Linked DNA regions of Sus scrofa. The protein of the gene in region 2 purifies or fractionates together with the protein of the main gene of each other region. This does not show direct contact. Links are inferred from orthologs where the notes say so. Each region holds a gene or a part of one and is shown on either strand. Other genes may lie near its edges.

Region 1 (7,284 bases), on a different chromosome or scaffold from region 2:
TTAATATCCTTAAAATTCTACTGTCCACATCTGTGGTTGTTAAGAGTATTCCTTACACAAACATTTCCATATGTCAATTTAATACACCCCACTGACCTCAGCCTTAAAATTTAAAACCACTTCAAACTAAATGGCCCGATCTAGAAAATATGCTTACACTTTAGTCAATTACAATACTGTGTCCTTTACCAAATACACTGTGTTTGTTTCTACAGCACAAAGAGATTTTAACTTTCTTAACTCAAACCTGAGACTTTATAGTCTGACTTGACATTAACATCAAGCACTTCTAAAATATAAACTGGAGACATTCTTTTAATAATTATAAAAAAATGAAAGAATCCATTTTAAAAGCTTGACTAAAATAACTTGTAAGATTTAGCACACAATATGAAGGCTTTTCCTCTGCCAGAAAACAATAATCCTTTTGTCTGCTGGAATCCTCTTGTCCATGTCTCCTAGCACTATACCCTGTTAACACATATCATGTTCAGAGAATATGTGCTGAATGAATAAACTTTATACAAATACACAAAGAAACCATCAAGAATTGTAACAGCCCAGCAATTTTAAAATGATTTCTCTGAAACTGTGGGTACCCAAGCTAAATGCTCTATTCTGACTCGGGTAAGCTTATCACAAATATTCCATACATATAACACACATTACTCTCATGTGTTTATGAACTAGAACCTGGTGATGGATTTTTTTCCACTAACCAAAGGCAATGCTAAAAACACTCACAGCAGACATGACCCCACACTAAACAACACAGTTTTCTCCAGGGAGTTCTCTTGTGGCACAGCTGGTTAAGGACTCGGCATTCTCACTGCAGTAGCTCAGGTTGCTGCTGTGACACAGGTTCAGTTCCTGGCCCAGGAACTTCCACATGCCGTGAGTGCGGCCAAAAATATATATACACGTATATACAGCTCTCTCCAACATCTTTCTATCTCTCCAACATATCTCTAGCATACCTTTATCTATATGATGGCCGACCCTAAAGCAGTCGCCATACTTTCATTCCACCACTGGGCTAGGCAATGGTTATGAGTTCTTTGCTGAAATTATATGAGTTAAGAGGTTCTTTTTTTTTTTTTTTTTTTTTTAGGGCCACACCCATGGCACTTGGAAGTTCCCAGGCTAGGGGTCAAATTGGAGCTGTAGCTGCGGGCCTACACCACAGCCACAGCAATGCCAGATTCTTAAACCATTGAGTGAGGCCAGGGATCAAACCCACCACCTCATACTTCCCAGTCGGATTCATTTCCACTGTGCCACAACAGGAACTCCAAGAGTTGTGAGGTTCTGAAGAGACCCAGAAAGTGTAAGAATCACTGCCATACACATTTCTTGGAACTCTTATAGAATAATTTTCAGAAATCAGTCAAGATAAACTAAAATGCCTTGTTTTTCACTAAAACTGTATTGTTCAATATCATGTCACCTACTTTGTTCATCAGTTTTGGTCTTGAATGACCTGTGAACATTTTAACACTAAATATACTCTCAAGATATGAAGATCTGCCACCAATGAGGACAATTAAAATAATTTACTTACATCTTCAAAAGAAATTACCCCAAAACAATAACTAAAGACAGCATTAATGGGGGGGAGAGAATTAGGGGAGTTTAGTCTACCAAAATTATTTACTAGAAGAACACAGTCATGAAATATATGTTTCTAAATCATATTAAAAAAAAAAAAAAAACCACTATAGGAGTCCCCGCTGTGGCTCTTGGAAATAAACCCGACTAGTATCCTTGAGGATGCAGGTTTGATCCCTGGCCTCTCTTGGTGGTTAAAGATCCAGCGTTGCCATGAGCTGCAGTGTAGTCTGCAGACATAGCTCAGATCCTGCGTTGCTACAGCTGTGGCAGAGGTCAGCAGCTGTAACTCTGATTTCACATCTAGCCTGGGAACTTCCATATGCTGCCCATGCGGCCCTAAAGAAAATTAAAAAAAAAAAAAAAATTGATACAAATCATCTAAGTAAATGCAAGTATATAAAAGCAATATACTACATTAATAAGAAAAATCAATTTCACATTCAAGTGATTGCTTTCTTAATTTTCCCTTTTTACTATTCCCAAATAAGAAATCAAAATTAGGTGTGCATGACAAAGCTTAATATTCTTATGTAAACACATCAGGACTGTTATTTTACATAGAAAGTACTATTCTAAGACCATAAAACTGCTAATGGACTAAAACTCAAGTTAAAACATGTTGGATGTTTAATTTCATCTAAGAAAAGTCAGGATCTGATTTGTAATGTTTTAAGAAATTATCTTCAAGCCTATTTTCTTAATTTCAAACTGCACCATCAGAACGTATTAAGGCGAGTCCAGGCTAAATTATACTCAAAATTACCAACGAATACAGAGAAGCAATTCTAGAAACAGACTTTGAGTGTTTTCACCTGTCTTAAGAGTGACGTTGCTGTCTAAAGAATGAGTTATCGAAAGCAGAGTTAATGACATATGACCATTTAGTTACTAAAGGAAACACTGTTATGAAAGGAATCCTCTCTAGTCCTCACATCCACCTGAAGCTATGACTGACCAACTGAATGCGCTAAGGCAACCTGCTATGCAATACAGACTGATGGTCAGGAGCAGTGTCTTGGAGCAGCAAACTCCACTGCCTATGTGATTTAAGGTAAGATACGACCTCTCCATTCTCACCTATGAAGGAGGGATGCTAATATGTCCTTATATCACAAAGACAACACACAAAGCACTAGGCCACTGCCTGCTACAAAGCCTTCATGTTATATTCCAATTTAATATACAAACAACAGAAACAGAGACGTGTGTATGTGCCAGATAGTACATAAATGCATTTCCTAACGTTGTCCACTAAGACAACCTAGAAGCTCTGACACTTCATGGTGGTAATAAGCACACCTCGTGCCCAGATCTCTGGCCTGGTTTTCAACACCATTCTCCTAATGAAAGGGAGCAGAGTTCCTTGGGAACGTGGTTGCTTCTGAAGCTGGAGAAAGGAAAATACAAGACCAGAATATCTTGTGGTGCCAGAAAATAAAGAACCATTTAAAAAGGTATGGGGACACGTTTAAAAGGCATAGGAACAAGCCTGAACAGGGTCCTATGCTAAAGCTGGAACAATACAGGCAACGAAATAAATAACAGCATTGAACTATAACCTACAGAATAAAATAAATATCCATGAGTCCATGCTGATATAAACAAGTAAAATAGGGCAGAAAGGACAGCTCTTCCTCAAAGAAAAATTCCAATTACTAAACACGGAAGAAAAGAGAAAATCACCATTAAGCAAATAACAGCAATAACTGTCGCAGGCAAGATCCACTAACGGATGCTAAAATTATCAAATACTAGCATTAGTAGGCAAAAGGTTGAGGAGACACAAAATATTAGTTACAGTAAGAAAAATAATAACTTTACTGTGGAGATATCTAGAAGACAAAGATCAGTGTACTAACATCATAAAATCTCTCCCATACCATATACTAGTAGGATATAATATCACTTTTGTACTCTTGCCAAAAAATGCATACCTTATTCTAACCATGAGAAACTATCTACAAAATAATCAATTTTCTTCAGAAGAGTCAAGGTCATAAAAGACAAGAAAAAAATGAGGAACTATCACAGGCTGGAGGAGGCTGAAGAGACATTATGAATAAATATAAAGTGAGATCCTAGATTGGATCCTGGAACAGAAAAAGGACATAAATGGGAAACCTGGTAAAATCAAACAAGGTCCGAGTTTATATAAGAGTATTACACTAATGCTAATTTCACAGTTTCTTAATTATAATTATATAAGATGTTAGGATTAGGAGAAGCTAGGTGAAAGGTACATATGAACTCTGCAATTTTACTACTTTTCTCTAAGTCCAATCTTACTTCAGAATCAAGCTTTAAGCTTTTTAAAAATATGATATATACACAGTCATCTCTTAGATCTGCAGGGACTAGTTCCAGACCTCAGGTGGGTACCAAAATCCACATATGTTCAATTCCCACAGTCAGTCCTCTGTATCAGAGGGTTCCACATCAAAGGATACAACCAAACATACACTGCAAACATACCAGTATATGTACTGAAGAAAATCCATGGATAAATGGATCCACACAGTTCAAACCCATATTATTCGAGGGTAAATGGCAGTTACCTATAATATGTATTAGCTATCACTATTTTTCTGCCTTAAAATCATTAAGTTATACTAAAATATCCTTTGCTGAAGCCAGTATACCTCTAAAAAACTTAGCACTGAAAAACGTAATCAATAAAACACATTACAGATGTCATTACCTGTAATTTTATATCCATAAGCAGCTAGTTGTCCAGCCATGTACTCTCCATCTGAATTATTATGAGAACAACCCCATGTTCGTATCCAAATTTTCTGAATGCCTGGAATAGTGCTGTTTTAATTGATCAAAAAAAAAAAAAGTCTCATTAAGGGATTTTTTTAAGTAAAAAATACTAGATAATTTCTGGGCATACTATGCAAAAACAAACACTGCTATACATTCACAAGCTATTCATTAAAACATCAACTAAATTTGTAATCTGTTGTTACACCAAAAGTCTAAAAATCAGTATAAAATAAGCACAGAACTGTAAGTTAAGACTCTATATATAAAAAATATCTTCTATTTCATTGAATTGTATTTTAAGTTCAATACTACTAAATACGAACACTAAATTCAACTCTCGGAAAGGTACAAATCACAATAGCACAGTCAATGGTACTAACTTAAATGGCAAATAAGGAAAAATTAAGCATCTATATGCTCAGACTACTACATACTAGTTACAATCTTTATAAGTTATAGATTAAACAGCAATCAAAATGAAAATCTGGGAGTTCCTGTCGGGGCGCAGCAGAAATGAATCCGACTAGGAACCATGAGGTTGCAGGTTCAATTCCTGGCCTTGCTCAGGGGGTTAAGGATCTGGCATTGCCGTGAGCTATGGTATAGGTCACAGATGCGGCTCAGATCCTGTGTTGCTGTGGCTATGGTATAGGCCAGCAGCTGCAGCTCCAATTTGACCCCTAGCCTGGGAACCTCCGTATACCACAGATGTGGCCCTAAAAAGCAAAAAAAAAAAAAAAAAAAAAAAAAAAATCTGTCACCTTATGGCATTATTAAAAGTACTCCATAGGGGCTCCCTTGTGGTACAGAGGGTTAAAGATCTGGCATTGTCACTGCAGCAGCTCAAGGTGCTGCTCTGGCACAGGTTTGATTCTCTGGCCCAGGAACTTCCACATGCCACAGGCACAGCCAAAAGAATAAATAAATAAATAGGAGTTCCCATCATGGCGCAGTGGTTAACGAATCCGACTAGGAACCATGAGGTTGCAGGTTCGGTCCCTGGCCTTGCTCAGTGGGTTAACGATCTGGCGTTGCCGTGAGCTGTGGTGTAGGTTGCAGACGCGGCTCGGATCCCGAGTTGCTGTGGCTCTGGCGTAGGCCGGTGGCTACAGCTCCAACTGGACCCCTAGCCTGGGAACCTCCATATGCCGCGGGAGCGGCCCAAAGAAATAGCAAAAGACAAAAATAAATAAATAAATGTCTTAAAATAAATAAAAAACAAATAAATGAAAGTACTCCATATATAAAGTTCTAAAAAATGCAATATTTTTAGGAAGGAAAAAGGACTTTCACAACTTGGATGGCTCTAATAATTAATAATTCAATAGGCATTAGCTTAAGGACATGTTCAGGACAAATTTAACAGATTTCAGTCATCATAAGCAAATTTTATATTCATAGATTTTTAAAGCTTACTGTTCCAAACAAAATAATCAAATATATTAAAACTTTCAACAATTTACTAGATAAACAGTTTAAGCATACTAAAACAATATAACTGCATAATCTTTTCTGGCTAGGTTACATTAGAATTGCACTAAACTAGAGACCTAATAAGACAGTGTAAAAACATAATAATTTGTGTCCAATGCCTTTAGATGATCTCTAAGTAACTGTAAATATGCTAAGAAAAATCAAATGCTCAAACTGCCACTCTCGCATAAGAATCACAAGTGCCAATAAAAATTTTTAATTTAGAAGCACCAATTACACACCAACTACAGTAATATCAAAGAGACCCTGCCCAGGGGAAGAAGGGTGATCCTTGCTCTGCCAGATACTGGCTTAGCCCTGCCTTTAATGGACTTGCAGTTTGAGGTCTTTTTCAAACAATGACTTCACTAAATATAAAACCATCTGAATTAAAAAAATAAATAAATCTACATTTTTCTTCTCACCAGTTCAAAGATTTGTTAAAAGAGACATTACGTCTATCATATACAGTAGTGCCAGCCTCTCCCCTGGTATGAGACTGAATTTAGTTTCAAAAAAAATAAAAAAGTTTACCTATCACTTGGTGGACTGTTTTCGTCTTGCAAGTATTTTTGGGTATTTCGCCTTCGCACCTTTGGAACGACTTGCTTTCTTGCAAAATGCCTGTCCTGTGGCTTTGAATCTTCTTGGGACACAATATCTTCTATGTCATCCAGTAGTGTATCACAGGATGCAGAAGGCATCTTCTCTATCACGGAAAGTTATAAATGACACAAGCAGAGGAGTCCCTCAGAAAATCTGTTTAACATAACATTGCCTATGAAATATTCTTGCCAAACCTGAATCTAATAAAGTCTTTAGATTTAACTTCAAGTTTACAGAAAATATGGGAGATACAGAAATACAGGAGATATCAGATAAATCTCACTGATAGTGGGACATTCCAAGGTTCAACTGGAACTATTTCTTCAACAAATCGATGTCATGGAGAAAAGAGCAGGAAAGGAACCATTCAAGATTAAAGGAGACTTAAGAGATAACAGCTAAACACACTTTATGTTCTTGATTAGGTCTTACTTTGTCCAATCATCTGTAAGACATCTTTGGAACAACCACAGAAATCAGAATATGAACTGGGTATTAGATAATATTAGGGTATCACTATAAACCATTTAAGTATTGGCCTTAAAAATCTTATTTTTTTTGAAGGATGGGATTAACATATACATACTACTATCTACAAAATAGATACAAAAAAATGTTTGCTAAAGCTTATAGTACAAAGAACTATACTTAGTATTTTGTAATAACCTGTAAGGGAAAAGAATCTTAAAAAGAATATGTGAGTGTATGCGTGTGTGGGTATAACTGAATCACTGTGCTGTAACAGCTGAAACTAACACAACATTGTAAATCAACCATATTGCAATTAAAGAAAAAAAGAGTATCTCTAGAAAAAATTCTATTTTTTAG
Region 2 (7,689 bases):
CCCTCCTCACACCACAGCCTCCATGCCCCACTTCCTCCGTTCTGTTCTAAGGCTCGGTTCATTCCACTGACCTGTGCTGAATACCCACTGTGTGTCAGGCCCTTGTGCTTTGGGCATGAGGATGAGCAAAAATGGACAGGGCTGAGCATGTTCCCACATGTCATCTAATCCCTGGGTCAATCTCACTTTGTTGTTTGCATTCTGTAGACATGGTGACTGAGGCCAGAGAAGGCAAAGGCCAGAAACAGCAGAGCCAGACACACCTGGTAGAGGGCTTCGGGAACCTAAAACTTCACCCCCTCCCAACTCCGTGTTCTCAGACAGCAGCTGGGATTCCAGAAAGTTCCCCAGGCACTAGCCCAGGATTCAAAAATGATGTCCCTGCAGGCAGCCAGGGGCCAGCCACAGATGAGTCAAAACTGACAAAGGACTATCTGATACACCAGCTGTGATGTGAGCAGCTTGATGTCCCTCATCCGCCATGGCCTGGCTGCCAGGAGGGCCAGCTCACTGACTCAGTGACACCTGTCTCCCCTGTGACCTCCCAACCCCAGCTGAACACAGACACCACAGACACTTAAGACAGACGGGGCTGTCAGTGCAGAGGCACACACGTGGTAAAGCCTACAACTGGGTATTGGCAGCTGGGAAGGCTCCCTGGGGCCCGAGGGGTCCTGATTGGTCATCTGCCTCTCCGGAGCACTGGAGCTGCTTCATCTGTGGGAATAGGAGCAGGGGAGGGTACTTTGCCTGGAAGATCACTTGAAATGGGTCCAGATCCATTTTCTTTTCTTTTTTTTTTTTTTAGGGCCTCACTCACGGTATATGGAAGTTCACAGGCTAGGGGTCAAATTGGAGCTGTAGCTGCTGACCTACACCACAGCCACAGCAATGAGGGATCCAAGCCTCATCTGTGACCTACACCACAGCCCATGGCAACTTGGGATCCTTAACCCACTGAACAAGGCCAGGGATCAAACCCGAGTCCTCATGGATACTAGCTGGGTTCGTTACTGCTGAGCCTCAGTGGGAACTCCCGGTCCAGATTCATTTTAAATCTTCGCAGAGCAGTACTTAGCTATTGTTAACTCCCCTCACAAATGGGTGACACAGGCCAGTGGCTTCATCTTTCTGAGCAGCCAGATCTTGGTCACTAGGTGGCAGAGCCACCTCTGCCAGGAACTGGGGGCTGGAGGTGGGCACAGGCTCATTCAGCCAGACAACAGCGCCCCCTGCCAACCGAGTATCACCTACTGAACTACTCAGGTTCCTCTACTCCCTAACTGGAGGTTTTAGGGAGTAAATTACCTAATCTGGAAGCCTCTTTCCTCACCGGCGAAATAGAGAAAATAAAGAATATCAACTGCCACACAGGGATGGCTCAAGGACTGAACGACTAGGTAGTATATGTGTCAATGCCCACCCTTAGGATCAGCTCCATGTTGTCAGCTAGCCCTCAAGAACCGATCTGCCAAGTGCCCAGGCTCCCTGTTGAGGCCTCTGCCCACCAGGTAGACAGGGTAAGACTTCTTAATATCCCATTTATCCTCAAAGAATAGGAAATCATGACATTATGACTCCTAACTGGCTGTTCCAAGGTCTAAGCCCCATGGTGTCCTGGTGGCCAACTGTGCTGGAGGAGGCAGAGGCTGCCAGTGGAGAGAGTGCTTCAGGTGACTTTCAACAGAGAAATCTGCTGTCACTGCCCTGACCAGGGACCAGGGTGAGCATTATTAACAGTGGGGACAAGCTGACATCACACAGCTCCTGCTGGAAGTTAAGGATCCAACTCCTGGCAAATGTCCTCATTAATAAACTCAAACCTGAACTCAACTTCGAGTTTACAGGAAACCCAGCAGACTAAGGAACCCATCAGACCATGGGATTCTCCAGGACGACCCACCTGGGCTTTTCAAAATGGTCAGTGTCGGAGCTCCCGTCGTGGTTCAGAGGTTAACGAACCCAACTAGCATCCATGAGGACTCGGGTTTGATCCCTGGCCTCGCTCAGTGGGTTAAGGATGCAGCGTTGCATTGAGCTGTAGTGCAAGTCACAGACATGGCTTGGATCCAGCGTCGCTATGGCTGTGGTGTAGGCCGATGGCTATAGCTCCAACTGGACCCCTAGCCCAGGAACTTCCATATGCCACGGGTGTGGTCCTAAAAAGACAAAAAGACCGAGGAAAAAAAAAAAAAAAACCCAAAAGAGATCAGTGTCAAGAAAGATTACATGGTGGGGGTGGGGAGACAGGTCTAGAAGAGGCTAAAGAGAGTAAGACAACCAAATGCAATACATGAAACTTGACTAAAGCCTGATTAATAAACCAACTATGAATGACACTTTGGGGAAATTCACATTTGACTGGACGTTAGATATGAGCATCAGGGAACTGTTCATTTGGGGACCAAACAACCACTGTGATTACAAGCTTATTCTTAGGAAGAACTTAGAAGTGAAAGGTCATGTGTCTGCAGCTTACTCTCAAGTATATTTATATTCTACACACACACAAATAAAGCCAATGTTGCAACATGTTAACAACTATCAAATTTAGGTGGTGCTTATATAGGAGTGTTCACTACATTAATTTTTCAATTTTTTTGGCATACTTTTCCTGATCAAACCATCAGCAGAACATTTTCTTTCCTCTGAAGAGACAGTTTTTTAAATGATCTGAACCTCACTGACCCAGTCTCTACAGGCACTACCACCCCCACCCCCAAACCCAGCGTTAATCCCACTGAGATGAAAGACTCTCAGGCATGCTGGAAGAGGAATATAAATAAGGGTTTATTACAAAATGCAAAATGTTAGTTTCTTACTGTCAGTGATTTCAAGAAAACAAGGCCATGAGTCCTGAATGGGACTGGGAGCAAAAATCCAGGTTCAGGAGCGAGCTGACAGACACTGGTTCACAACCTCCAGCAGGTGGGTGTTCTCTAGGGCAGCTGCCACCCGCTCTTTATCTGCGAGCTGCTTGTTCACTGGGTGGAAAGGAGAGAGGTGAAAAATATTTATACCCCCACCAACGAAGTCATTCTCTCTGGGAGTTCCCACTGAGGCTCAACGGTAACAAAGCCAACTAGTATCCATGAGGACGTGGGTTCGATCTCTAGCCTCACTCAGTGGGTTAAGGATCTGGCATTGCCATGAGCTGTGGTGTAGGTCTCAAACACAGCTCAGGTCCCACATTGCCGTGGCTGTGGTGTAGGTCAGCAGCTGCAGCTCCGATGTGACCCCTTCCATATGCCACACCTGCAGCCTTAAAAAGCAAAAGAAAAGAAAAAAGTCCTCCTCTCCTCTCCTTCCCAAGACTCCAAGCTTGATCAGGCTACCCCAAGCACCTGAGCCCACACCTATTGCACCTTTCTGTGACCTCTCCCACCCCGCCACCCAAGTCTGCCTCCTACACTATAAAGCCAGACACACCCTTGTCCTGTGTACTCAGGACAGGGAGAGGGTAGGAGTGGGAGAACACAATAAACACTGGAGACTCAAGTCGGGCCAGCTCCCTGAGGGGGCACCCACCTCGTGCCACATGCCCTACCCTCCATCTTGCCCTACAAACCACAACGGCAAGGGGAAGCCTCCAGGCCAATGCCTTGACATCAGCCCATGCTTACCTGCATGCTCAGAGGCATGGGTCCCTGGCGTAATGTGCACGTCCATCTGGGAGGAAGAGAAGTGGGGTCTGGGCACTCACACACCCATCCACCCCTTTCCGTCTCCACATTCATGCCTCTGGACTCTGGTCCTTCCATTACACCCAAACCCACTCATGGCCACTGCAACTCTACCCAAAAGACTGGCCAACTGCTACTGACTCAAAAGCCTGCCTGGACCCCATCCTTGCTCCAAACCTATCCACAGCCCCCTAAGGCCACATTCCTCACTACTTTTCTGCACTTTCCAGCTTGGGCCTCTAAATCCTGTCCCATCCAATTGGAAAGCCTCCTCCCGGTTTCATCTCTGCGAGCTGGGATCCCTTCAGGTCTCACTGTGTTATCCATGTTCATGCTCTCCACGCCCTCCTCAGTAGCAGACACTCATGCCTGCCCCACGCCTAGGGCTCAGTTCCAACTTACCTTAAAACGCTGAGGAAGGGATCGCAGAAGCTTGACTTTGATGGACAGGCCAATAAGGGTGGCCATACTGCAATGCGGAATGGTGGGTGTGAAAGCCACAGCCACTGTGCTCTCAGGGTCGCTTACCTGGTTGAGGAGGTGGAGTGTTGGGAGACATGGCCCCCTTAGCCCAGAGCCCCTCTTCTTAGTTTACTGCTTCAGGCAAGTTGTCTTAAACACTGTAGGATGCAGTTTCCTCATCTACAGAATAGGCACACACCCCACCCCCTTCCAAAGACCCTTGAGGATTCTGTGAGCTGAGACAACACCCACCCCCCGGAGCAAAGTTGAGCCTTTCTGACTCCCTGGAACAAGTCACTCCCCCGGGATGCTGGAGGTGACTCACCTGAACCCGGACTTGCTCTACTACGTTCAATTCTTCCAGCGTCAGTGGATGCTCCGGGTCATTGATGGAGCGAATCAGATGTGCTAAGTGAAGGAAAAGGGACTCTGCGCTTCTGCCCACTCAGAACCCTCCGCCGGGAATGCTCGGCCCTGATACAGCTCCACCAACTATTGGACATCACCACATCCCACCCCATCCCAGGACCCGTGAACCCGCCCGCGCCCGGCAGCGGCGGATATCGAAGATCTCGCGCGCATCGATGCTGTCTGGAACTTGCTCGTCTTCCTCGCCCGCGGTCACTGGCCGCTCCCCAGAGCGCTCGTAAATGAGGGGGTTCGCGTTCTCCAGAAGGCCGCCCCCAACGCCACCTCCGCCGCCGCCCACCATCGCGGAACCTCGGCCGCAACTGTAGACATGCACTTCCGCTTCTACGAATGCACTTCCGGGGAACGGGAAGGGGGCGTGGCGTGGCGACGGGGTAACGCGAGGGACACGCAGCGCTGCCGGTACTCCGCCTGGGGATAGAGTGGAGCGGTGTTGTAGGCGCGCTCTCCACGCAGACCCGGGGAAATGCGCAGCGCTCCAGCAAAGGCTCGCAGACCCGGCCCCGCGTGCGGGCGGGTAGCGTGCTAGACCGTGGAGTCCGAGACTGAGGCACTTAGGGTTCGTCTGGGATTGACCGAGAAGTTTCTTCAGACATCGCTTCCTCTGAGAAGCCCGCCCCTTAGACTAGGCGACCGCTCCCTTCCCCAGAATTGCCTCTGTCCGTGCAGGGTTCACTGTGTTTTGGAAGCTCCCGGTGGCGCACCTGCAGCCCCCACTGCTCCTTGGGCCCGGGAGTGCCCTCCTGGTCCCCAGCGCGCGGGCCAGCTGGTGTTCTTTAAATATTTGTCCAGTGATTAATGCCTGAACTCGATTTTGGCGGGAGGTGGGTAAAAGGAAAGACCTGAGGTGGGGTTGAGGGTGTTCTTAAGAGGAGTGCCACAGGCAGGTGTGCATTCAAAAGGCAGGCCATTGCCGATCAGGGAGGGGGTCCTCAGAGACCCCCAGAACTGGGACAATAAGGGGATGAAGGCAGAGCCAGGAAATCGATCCCAGAAAGCAAGGAGTTTTTGGAGAGAAGGGCAGCCACTCTTCCCTGCCTTTACTTAGTTGGTTCCCTTCGCTCTGAACGAAGGTCATTCCCATTTCTCTGTCTGTGGGAATCCTGACCAGGGCACCTCTTCAAGGAAGCTCTCCTGGTTTCCCTAATCACAGTTCCGTCTGCTCTCTCTCTCGACCCCCTGGACACACTTGTCGGGCCCATGGCTGTAAGGACAGTGAACTCAGGTATGAGGTGAGGGTTCTTGGTATTGTGTAGAAGCCCAGAAGAACCTGGGGAGAGGGGAAGCTAATGTGCTAGCCCCTGCCTGCCACTGGCCTTGGCCTGTTCAGTCCGTCTCTCCTGCCAAACTCACCACTCCCTGCCCAGTCCAATCTCTAGACCTGAATGACTGCTGGATGGGTTCCTGTGCAGCCACTTGGTGAAAAGCAGAGTGCCCAATGGTAGGGCAAAAAAGAAAAAGACCTGTAAGCTCACCATGCAGCTGGATGGACTTCGAGTGCCACTGAGCGCCTCCTCAGACTTCTGCTTCTCTTAATCCCCAGCTATAGGATGAGGCTCCCAAGCAGGGTGACAGGAACCCAGGTAAGACTCGCCAAATTCTGCAGAGACAGGACCTGAGGCTGCGGGAGGACAGATGTCAGGGAAGTGGGAGCCAATAGGGAGCTACAGCACCCTGTGCGGACCCAACACATCGTGACCCTAAGATGTGCCCCTGAGGCAGAGGGAGAGTCAGGGCTGCCCCAGATCACACTACACCAACCGATGAGTGGTCCCTAGGGGCTCAGAGCAGTACCTGCCTAGGTGGGCTGGGGAAGAATTTGAGACATTATCCCCCTAGGGTTTGTGGTGGGGCTGGCACTGCCCCGGGGGGGGGGGTAATAACAGTAATAATACCTCTGGCCATCATTTGGCTCTGAATGTTCCCTGTTAGGCCAGAGGGTTGTCCTGACACCCACTGAACCTCTCTCCAGAGGAGCCCCAGGCAAGGTTACTGACTCAGGGTACCGAAGCCCCCACTCCCAGCTGCTATGTCCTAAAGCCTATGGGAGAGAACAACGCCATCCTTTCCACCCCCGTGCAACCCTCCCTGGGGAAGGCACGTCTTGGTCTCCAGGGCAAAGGTGCTGGCTCTTTGTGCCATCCTTAGCAGGCCTTTGTGGTATCCCTTATCAGCTTAGACTTTGTGGGCACAGTGCCTGGGTGTGTCTGTAGCTCCTGGGTCTCCTCTTGAAGGGTGCGATCCCCGAATCCAAACAAGCTCTGCCTGATCTGACTCTCCTCTCCCTTTCCAGTTTGAATCTGCTAGTAAAATGTCCACAGTTCTCTCCCCCTTGGGTCTTCTCTGCCCTTCCTGGTTGCTGACCAGGCTCTAGAAGGTCACTGGAACCTTCCAGCATCACAAAATGCTAGGCCTAGCTGACACCCTCTTAAAAATGTTGCTGGAGGAGTTCCTGTTGTGGCTCAGCGGGTTATGAATCCGACTAATATCCATGAGGATTCGGGTTTGATTCCTGGCCTCGCAAGTAGGTTAAGGATCCGGCATTGTGGTGAGCTGTGGTGTAGGTCGCAGACATGGCTCCGATCTGGTTTTGCTGTGGCTGTGGCATTGGCTGACTCCACCCCTAGCCTGGGAACTTCCATATGCTGCAGGTGTGGCCCTAGAAAGAAAAAACAAAAAACGTTGCTGGAGTTCTCTTGTGGCACAGCAGGTTAGGGATCTGGTGTTATCACTGCAGCAGTTTGGGTTGCTGCTGTGGTATGGGTTCAGTCCCCGGCCCAGGAGCTTCCACATGCCACAGGTGGGGCCAGAAAAAAAAAATGTTGCTATAGGAAGTTCCCTCATAGCTCAGCGGGTTGAGGATCTGGCATTGTCCCTGCTGTGGCTCAGGTCACTGTTATGGCACAGGTTCAATCTCTGGCCCCCGGACTTTCACATGCTGGGGTGAAGCCAAATAATTAATTAATTAATTAAAACTAAAATGTTGCTACATTGTATAGGACCCACTTTCAGAAAAAAAAGAAAAGAAAAAATTGGAGTTCCTGTTGTGGCACAGTAGAAACAAATCCTACTAGTGTCCATGAGGATGTGGGTTCGATCCCTGGCCGCACTCATT
Region 3 (7,854 bases), about 24 Mb from region 2:
TTGATCACTGGGTCGGGGATCTGGCGTTGCTCTGAGCTGTGATGTAGGTCACAGACGCAGCTCAGATCCCAAGTGCCTGGGGCCGTGGTGTAGGCCGGCAGCTATAGCTCTGATTCGACCCCTAACTGGGAACTTCCATATGCTGCAGGTGTGGCCCTTAAAAGGCAAAAAAAAAAAACCCAAAGTCTACAAACAATAAATGCTGGAGAGGGTGTGGAGAAAAGGGAACCCTCTTACACTGTTGGTGGAAATGTAAATTGGTACAACCACTATGGAAAACAGTATGGAGATTCCTCAAAAAACTGAAAACAAAATTACCATATGATCCAGAAATTCCACTCCTGGGCATCTATCCAGAGAAAACCTCCATATGCCGTGGGAGCGGCCGGAGAATTGGCAAAAAGACCAAAAAAAAAAAAAAAAAAAAAAAAATTTTTTTTTCTTAAATTTATCACCACACACATTTACAATTTTTTTTCTTTCCCACCGTGCTCATAGCATATGGAAGTTCCCAGGCCAGGGATCTCAAACCCTCACTACAGCACTGACCTGAGCCGCTGCAGTAACAACCCCAGATCCTTAACCTGCTGGGCCACAGGAGAATTTCACAATTTTTTTTCTTTTTAAGGCCAATTTGAGGCACATGGAAGTTCCCAGGATAGGGGTCTAATCAGAGCCACAGCCACGCCAGATCTGAGCCACATCTGCAACCTACACCACCGCTCACAGCAACACCAGATCCTTAGCCCACTGAGCCAGGCCAGGGATCGAACCCACATCCTCATGGATCCTAGTCGGGTTCATTAACCACTGAGCCACAAAGGGAACTCCCTTCACAATTTTTTTTCCTTATAATGAGAACTTTTAAGATTTATTCTCTTAAAACTTTCAAATATATGATAGAGTATTATGAGCTATGGTCACCATGCTGTACAGCTGCCCTCAGTATCTGCGGGGGGCTTGGGGGGGGGACTAGTTCCAAGTCCGCCCCACGGATACCAAACCCGCAGATGCTCAAGTCCCTTATATTAAATGGCACAGTAGCCACGACCTATGTCACAGCAACATCAGATCCGAGCTGTGTCTGCGACCTACACCACAGCTCACAGCAACGCCGGATCTTTAACCCGCTGAGAGAGGCCAGGGATCGAACCAGCAACCTCATGGTTCCTAGTCAGATTCGTTTCCACCGCACCATGATAGGAGCTCCCCTATCCGCAGGTTTTGGATCCACACATAACAGGGCCAAGTGTACATTACATCCCCACGACCTATTTCTTTTATAACTAGTCTACTTTTTTGACCCCTTCACCCATTTTGCCCAGCCCCCACCCCTTGCCCAAACTTATCAACAACTGTATGAAGCAGGTAGTTAATTTTTTTGGCCGTGCCCATAGTATGTGGAAGTTCCTGGGCCAGGGATCGAACCCGAGCCACAGTTGTGACCTGCACCACAGGTAATGACACTGAATCTTAACCTGCTGTGCCACCAGGCAACTCCAGGTAGTTAATTACCCTCATTTTACAGAATGGAAGACTGAAATCCAGAGAGCAGAAATCACCTATGCAAGAGTACACAGCCGAGTTCCCACTGTGGCACAGCAGGTTAAGGATCAGGCATGGCCTCAGCTGCGGCTCGGATTCAGTCTCCGGCTGGGAAACTTCCAAAAGTGTGGCCAAAAACGAAAAAAACAAAATAAGTACATGACCAGCCCGTTTCAGAGCCAGGCAAGCAGGGCTGCCGGAGTCCGGAGCTGGGAAGAGGGGTGCTTACCAAAACGCGGTGTCAGCACTTGAGTGAGAGGAGGACTCTGCGTCCCCAGAACATCCCCCGAGAGGCCTAGTCTGGGGATCCAGGGCTCCTGGTTGGACCAAGAGTTTCCTCAACCCAGGGAGTTCCCACTGTGGCTCAACGGAAACGAATCTGACTAGCATCCATGAGGACGAAGGCTTGACCCCGGCCTCACTCAGTGCGTTAAGGGTCCGGCATTGATGTGAGCTGTGGCGTAGGCCAGCAGCTGTAGCTCTGATTCGACCCCATAGCCTGGGAATCTCCGTATGCTGCGGGTGTGGCCCTAAAAAAAAAAAAAAAGGAAAGAAAAAAGAAAAAGTTTCCTCAACCCTAAGGCTTAGGGCAAGGGGCAGGACAGGCACTCACCTCGGGGTGAATACACAGGTTCTTCCGGGAGCTCAGAGCCAGCCCCAGGAATGGCAGCTTCTCGCCCTCCTGTTTCTCATAGAAGCTGAGTAACTTTCGAAGCTCTTCAATCACCTGTTCCAGTTGATGAGGGAGCAGGACTTGGCCTGATTGAAAGCACAAGCCCCAGCCCCTGCCCAGCCAGGCCCCCACCCCTTACCCGGCTTTCCAAACGCCCCTGAAGCTCTGGTGGCAACTGCCAGGGGAACCCAAGGGCTCCGACCGAGTCGGGGAGCAGTGGGCTTGGCTCCAGGCTCACCTTCTCAATCTCGGGCACAGTCCTCGAGCAGTAGATGAGTTTAGTCACCTCCAGCGGATACGCCTGCCGACGACAATGGGCTCAGCCTCTTCCCCCTCCAGCCTCTTCCCCCTCCACGCGCCCAGTGGGTCACTCACCCGCTGGTATGCCATGATCAGGGCCAACAGGGACACGGTCTTCCCGGTGCCTGAGGGCATCTCCAGGACTCCGTGACCCTGGTGTTGAGGAAGAACAAGGCTCTCAGAACTTCAGAGACACAAACTCTGGGGAGTGCCCCCCCCCAATCCTGGAAGAGCATGTCAACACATCAGTTAAAAGTCTGGGCCCCAGGGCAGTGGATTTGAACCCCACTTCTGTTGAGTGGACTTAGGCAAATGCCTTCACCTGGCTGGGCCTCAGTATCCTCATCTCTAAAATGGGTCTCTTCTTCATAGCACAACTAGGAGGACGAGTAAGAAACTAGGTTTAAACATTCCGCATAGTACCCAACAGGTAGTGAATCCTTTTTAATGTAGCAAGCCCCTCCCCAGCACTTACTCTGGGTCTGGCACCACTACCAAGGGTCCTACATCAGTTTCTCAACAGCGAATCTATTGACATTTGGGGGCTGGATAATACTTGATTGTGAGTTCTCTGGGTGGTCTAGGGGTTAGGACTCAGTGTTTTCACTGCTGAGGCCCGGGTTAAAAAATTGTAAAAACAAACAAACAAACACCTGGGAGTTCCCTGGAGGTCTAGTGATTAAGGATTCGGCATTGTCACTGCTGTGGCTCAGGTTTGATCCCTGGCCCAGGAATTTCCACATGCCCTGGGCATGCCCCCCCTCCAAAAAACCCCAACTTGATTGTGGGGGGTTGTCCTGTGCACCTTACAATGTTTAGCAGCATCTGTGGCCTCTAGATGCCAGCCACACCCCCTCCCCACTAGTATGACAGCCAGGAATGTCTCTTGATATCGGTGAATGGGGGGGAAGGTAGAGGGGTGTCAAAACGTTCCTTAATTGAGAACAGCTGCTTTAGGTAGTGAATTAACCCCTAGAGCCTTCATATTAACCTCTAAGGTAGGTATTATTACTAGGCTCGTTTTACAGAGGTGAAAACTGTTCACAGGGAGGTTAAGTGAGTTACCCAAGGGCACACAGCTGTGGGTCCAGGATTCCAACCCAAGGAGCTGGTTCCAAACTCTTTATGTTCCTAAGCCAGCCGCTGAGCAACGCAGCCTCTGATAAATGTTAGCTGCTGCTGTTATTAACCCGTATTATTTTAGATAAGACGAAGTTTGGCCGTACTGGCCTCCCACGGACCTCAGATTTCCAAACTCTAGACGTCCTGCAATCTCAGTCTTAGACGCACGTGAGGCAGCCCCAGCCACCCACCTTGGCATCCAGCGTGCGTTTAAGCTCCAGCATGTAGGAGAACTGCTCCGGGTAGATGTAGTCGTACGGGAAATAGACCAGCAGCCCGTCCACGTTGAGCCTGGAGGCAGGGGCTGCCGGGTCAGTCGCCCGTCCCCTCAGCCCCTCTCCAGCACCCACACTCCGCTGTCGTCAGGCCGAGAGGGGTTACCAGCCCGAAACTGGCCCGCTGGTCTCCCCAGATATCCCCGAGTTGCCCAGGAGCCTCTGGGTACCTTTGGCATCTCATCGCTGACTATCCCCGTTACCGCCCCGTGGGTCCCCACGGCTATCCCCACCCCACCCCTTCAGCCTCCCCTCGCCCCGCTGGGACCCCAGGGGCGCCCACGGGTCCTGGCATCGTCCAGACTCCCGCGCCCGCTTCGCAAGCCGCGAGCCCCCGAACCCCTCTCACTTCATGGCGCCGGCCGCTACTCGCAGAAGCGTCGGCCCGCCTCCCTCATGAATATCTAGTAAAGGCAGGGTCCGCAGGGCGTCCTCGAGGCTCTGCTCCACCTTCGTCAAGACACCATTGGCTGATTCCTCCCGTCACTCCACTGGGGGGCCGTCAATCGGATAATGCGCGTGCGCACGGCAAGGCAGGGGCGGGGGGGCGGTACCACAGGCATTGCTGAGGATCGCCGAGGACCAAGAACAAAACATGGAAGGAAGAGAACCGAGAGAATCGATCCTACTTACTGGGATTCTGGCTTCCTGCATATGTCTGAATTATGAGCAGTGAATACACACTTGATTTCATTCTATTATAGTCTAGCTTTTAAGATGCCCCCTCCACTTGAACAAAGTAATCAGGACTAGAATGGGGGGCCCTAGAGAGGGTTCCTGACCCTGCCTGGGGGATCAGAGAGGGCTTCCTGAGGGAGGGGTCGGGTGAGGAGTAAGTGAGGCAGGGTAAGGTGGCCCAGACTTCGCTGCAGGCGCAGAGGACACCGCTGAAGGCAAGTGGAAGCAGAGGACAGCAAGATGGGGCTGGAATGCGGCTTGGGGAGCACAAACCTCCGAAATGGAAGCCATCCCATGCTTTACACCCAGCCATTTGACATCTCACATGGTCGTTATTCCCAGTCTGTTCTCCTGTACGTGGTAGTGCAAGGAGCACCTGCGTGGCATCTTTTTTATGTTGTTGTTGCTTTTTAGGGCCGCACGTGGGGCACATGGAGGTTCCCAGACTAGGGGGTCTAATTGGAGCTACAGCTGCTGGCCTACACCACAGCCATAGCAACTCCAGATCCAAGCCTCCCGCGTCTGTGACCTACACCACAGCTCACAGGCAACACCAGATCCTTAGCCACTGAGCGAGGCCGGGGATCAAACCCAAAACCTCATGGTCCCTAGTTGGATTTGTTTCTGCTGCACCACGAGAGGAACTCCAGTGTGGCATCTCTTAAGGCTCAGGGTCATGTCTCACTAAATACTTCAACCACTGCCTAACTTGTGAAAGTATATTCTCATTTGACTGTGATAAATGCCATGTGTGGGTATGTGTCATTATCCCCACTTTTTTTTTTTTTTTTTCCCCAGGACCTCACCCACAGTATATTGAAGTTTCCAGACTAGGGGTCAAATCAGAGTTACATCTGCTGGCCACAGCCGCAGCAACACCAGATCCGAACTGTGTCTGCAACCTACACCACAGCTCTTGGAAACGGCAGATCCTTACCCCAATGAGAGAGGCCAGGGACTGAACCCACATCCTCATGGATCCTAGTCAGGTTCGTTAACCGCTGAGCCACGAAGGGAACTCCTTCATTATCCCCACTTGCCCAAGGCTTTACAGCTAGGCCAGGTGCCGCTACCCATGCCACCCCCATCCCAGCCCTGCCCGCTCTGGGTTGTCACAGCCCGGGGATGGTTCTGTCTCCCCCACTGGACTGTGAGCTCCAGGAGTATAGGGCTGACACTGTTTGGGTCACTGCTTTGTGCCCTTTGCCACCAAGTACGGGGCCTGCACAGACCAGGGGTTCAGTAAATATATGCTCAGGTCCCTCACAGTCTGCCCTGGAAAACTGTACTGTGAGATTTTATATGAGGGGCTTCAGTATTCATAGATTTTGGTATCCCTGGAGGAGCCATTCCTCCCGCTTATACCAAGAGATGCAACCTATGCCACAGCTGTAGCAACACAGCATCTTTAACCCACTGTGCCAGGACAAGGATCAAACTAACACCACCACAGAGACAAGCCAGATCACTAACCCACTATCCACAGCAGGAACTCCAAGGGATGACTGTATTTTCTTTCTTCCTTTTTTTTTTTTTCCACTTCTTTCTTTGCTTTTTAGGGCCACACCTGAGGCATATGGAAGTTCCCAGGCTAGAGGTCCAATCAGAGCTATAGCTGCCGGCCTACACCACAACCACAGCAATGCCAGATCTGAGCCACATCTGCAACCTACAACACAGCTCGCGGCAACACCAGATCCTTAACGCATTGAGCGAGGCCAGGGATGGAACCTGCATCTTCATGGATACTAGTTACCACTAAGCCACAATGGGAACTCCAGATGACTGTATTTTCAATCCACTGTTGGTTGAGCAGAACCCACGGGTAGGGAGCGCCAAGTGTAAAACATTTCTTAGAATACATCTCTACATCCAGCTCCTGGTCAAGGGGAGGCTTTACTCAAGGACGTGACTGCCAGATGGCAGGGGTGATTGAGAGCCTTCTTGTAGTCATAGTTCTCTGTGTCTGGAAGGCTCTTGCCTCAGCCCCCGACTCTTTCTCTTCCCCAGAACCCTCCTTCAGTTTTACCTGAATCTGTCTCCAGAATCATAATTCTTTTTTTTTTTTCTTTTCTGCTTTTTTAGGGCCGAAGCCAGCGGCATATGGAGGCTCCCAGGCTGGGGGTCTAATAAGAGCTACAGCCGCCAGCCTATGCCATAGCCACAGCCACACGAGATCCAAGCCGTGTCTACAACCTATACCACGGCTCACGGCAATGCCAGATCCTTAACCCACTGAGCGAGACCAAGGATCGAACCTGCAACTTCATGGTTACTACTTGGATTCATTTCTGCTACACCACAACGGGAACTCCTAGAATCACAATTGTCTTATTGCAGCCTTCTGTGTTTTGTTCTGTGTTAATTTTTGGTTGACACATGTAAGGGAACATTAAGAGGTTCCAGGGATCAGGGCCTGGAGACCTTTGGGGACCATTATTCAGCCTACCCAGGATGCATTGCAATTTAAATAGGGTAGCCAGAAGTTCCCCTTGTGGCTCAGCGGTAATGAACCCAACTAGTATCCATGAGGACGTGGGTTCCATCCCTGGCCTTGCTCAGTGGGTTAAGGATCTGCTGTTGCCAGGAGCTGTGGTGTAAGTCGCAGACGCAGCTCAGATCTCACGTTGCTGTGGCCAAGAGCTGCAGCTCTGATTTGACCCCTAGCCTGGGAACTTCCATATGCCGCGGGTGCGGCCCTAAAAAGACAAAAAAAATGTATAGGGTAGTCAGGGAAGGCCTTGCTGACAATAGCCACAAGGTTGTTGTGTGGTGAGAATCCCAGTTGACTCTGATATGCGCCAGGGAATATCTGTCCTAAAGAAATCAAGTTATTTAGGGTAAGAGTCCCACAAATAGATAGGCTGTCATGAGTTATTTTAGGATAAGGGTCTGACTAAGTATCCCGCATTTTTGGCAGATGTTCTAGATGCCTATGTTAGGACAATAGGTGGTCAAAAGGTCAGATTCCATCCAGGCTGAGAGGTGCCTAAATCACACTTCCTCAGTGGCCTCCCAGCTCCATTTGAGAGCACTCTTCTAGCAATACTGACTCCATTTTTATTTTGATCCCACAGATGGCAAAAAGGGAATTTGCAGATATGACCTTGAGCTATCGAGGTGTGTCGGAAATGTAATCACGTGTCCTCCTAAGAGGGAGATGGTGCAGCAGGACAGAAACAGAGGCGATGTGACACTGAGGCAAGATGCCAGGCTGCAGGCTTTGAAGATGAAGAGGGCAGAGCCAAAGAATGCAAGGAA

What was found.
Region 1: the proteins of FAM96B (region 2) and CDKAL1 purify together in Homo sapiens (affinity purification with mass spectrometry; 3 studies listed by BioGRID and IntAct, with this or other methods). This does not show direct contact. The link is inferred for Sus scrofa from reciprocal best matches to the Homo sapiens genes CIAO2B and CDKAL1.
Region 3: the proteins of FAM96B (region 2) and ERCC2 purify together in Homo sapiens (affinity purification with western blotting; 3 studies listed by BioGRID and IntAct, with this or other methods). This does not show direct contact. The link is inferred for Sus scrofa from reciprocal best matches to the Homo sapiens genes CIAO2B and ERCC2.

Annotation. Positions count from the first base shown.
Region 1 is NC_010449.5:15,921,974-15,929,257, reverse strand, and holds part of CDKAL1 (threonylcarbamoyladenosine tRNA methylthiotransferase), read right to left. Parts: intron 6,610-7,284; exon of another isoform or gene 6,560-6,609; 5' UTR 6,555-6,559; coding exon 6,385-6,554; intron 4,423-6,384; coding exon 4,310-4,422; intron 1-4,309. UniProt on the Homo sapiens protein: Catalyzes the methylthiolation of N6-threonylcarbamoyladenosine (t(6)A), leading to the formation of 2-methylthio-N6-threonylcarbamoyladenosine (ms(2)t(6)A) at position 37 in tRNAs that read codons beginning with adenine.
Region 2 is NC_010448.4:27,607,703-27,615,391, forward strand, and holds FAM96B (mitotic spindle-associated MMXD complex subunit MIP18), read right to left. Parts: upstream 4,916-7,689; 5' UTR 4,858-4,915; coding exon 4,710-4,857; intron 4,551-4,709; coding exon 4,471-4,550; intron 4,212-4,470; coding exon 4,086-4,211; intron 3,670-4,085; coding exon 3,624-3,669; intron 2,985-3,623; coding exon 2,887-2,984; 3' UTR 2,767-2,886; downstream 1-2,766.
Region 3 is NC_010448.4:51,753,093-51,760,946, forward strand, and holds the start of ERCC2 (TFIIH basal transcription factor complex helicase XPD subunit), read right to left. Parts: upstream 4,417-7,854; 5' UTR 4,270-4,416; coding exon 4,265-4,269; intron 4,149-4,264; exon of another isoform or gene 3,932-4,148; coding exon 3,832-3,931; intron 2,672-3,831; coding exon 2,594-2,671; intron 2,520-2,593; coding exon 2,457-2,519; intron 2,273-2,456; coding exon 2,159-2,272; intron 1-2,158. UniProt on the Homo sapiens protein: ATP-dependent 5'-3' DNA helicase. Component of the general transcription and DNA repair factor IIH (TFIIH) core complex, not absolutely essential for minimal transcription in vitro.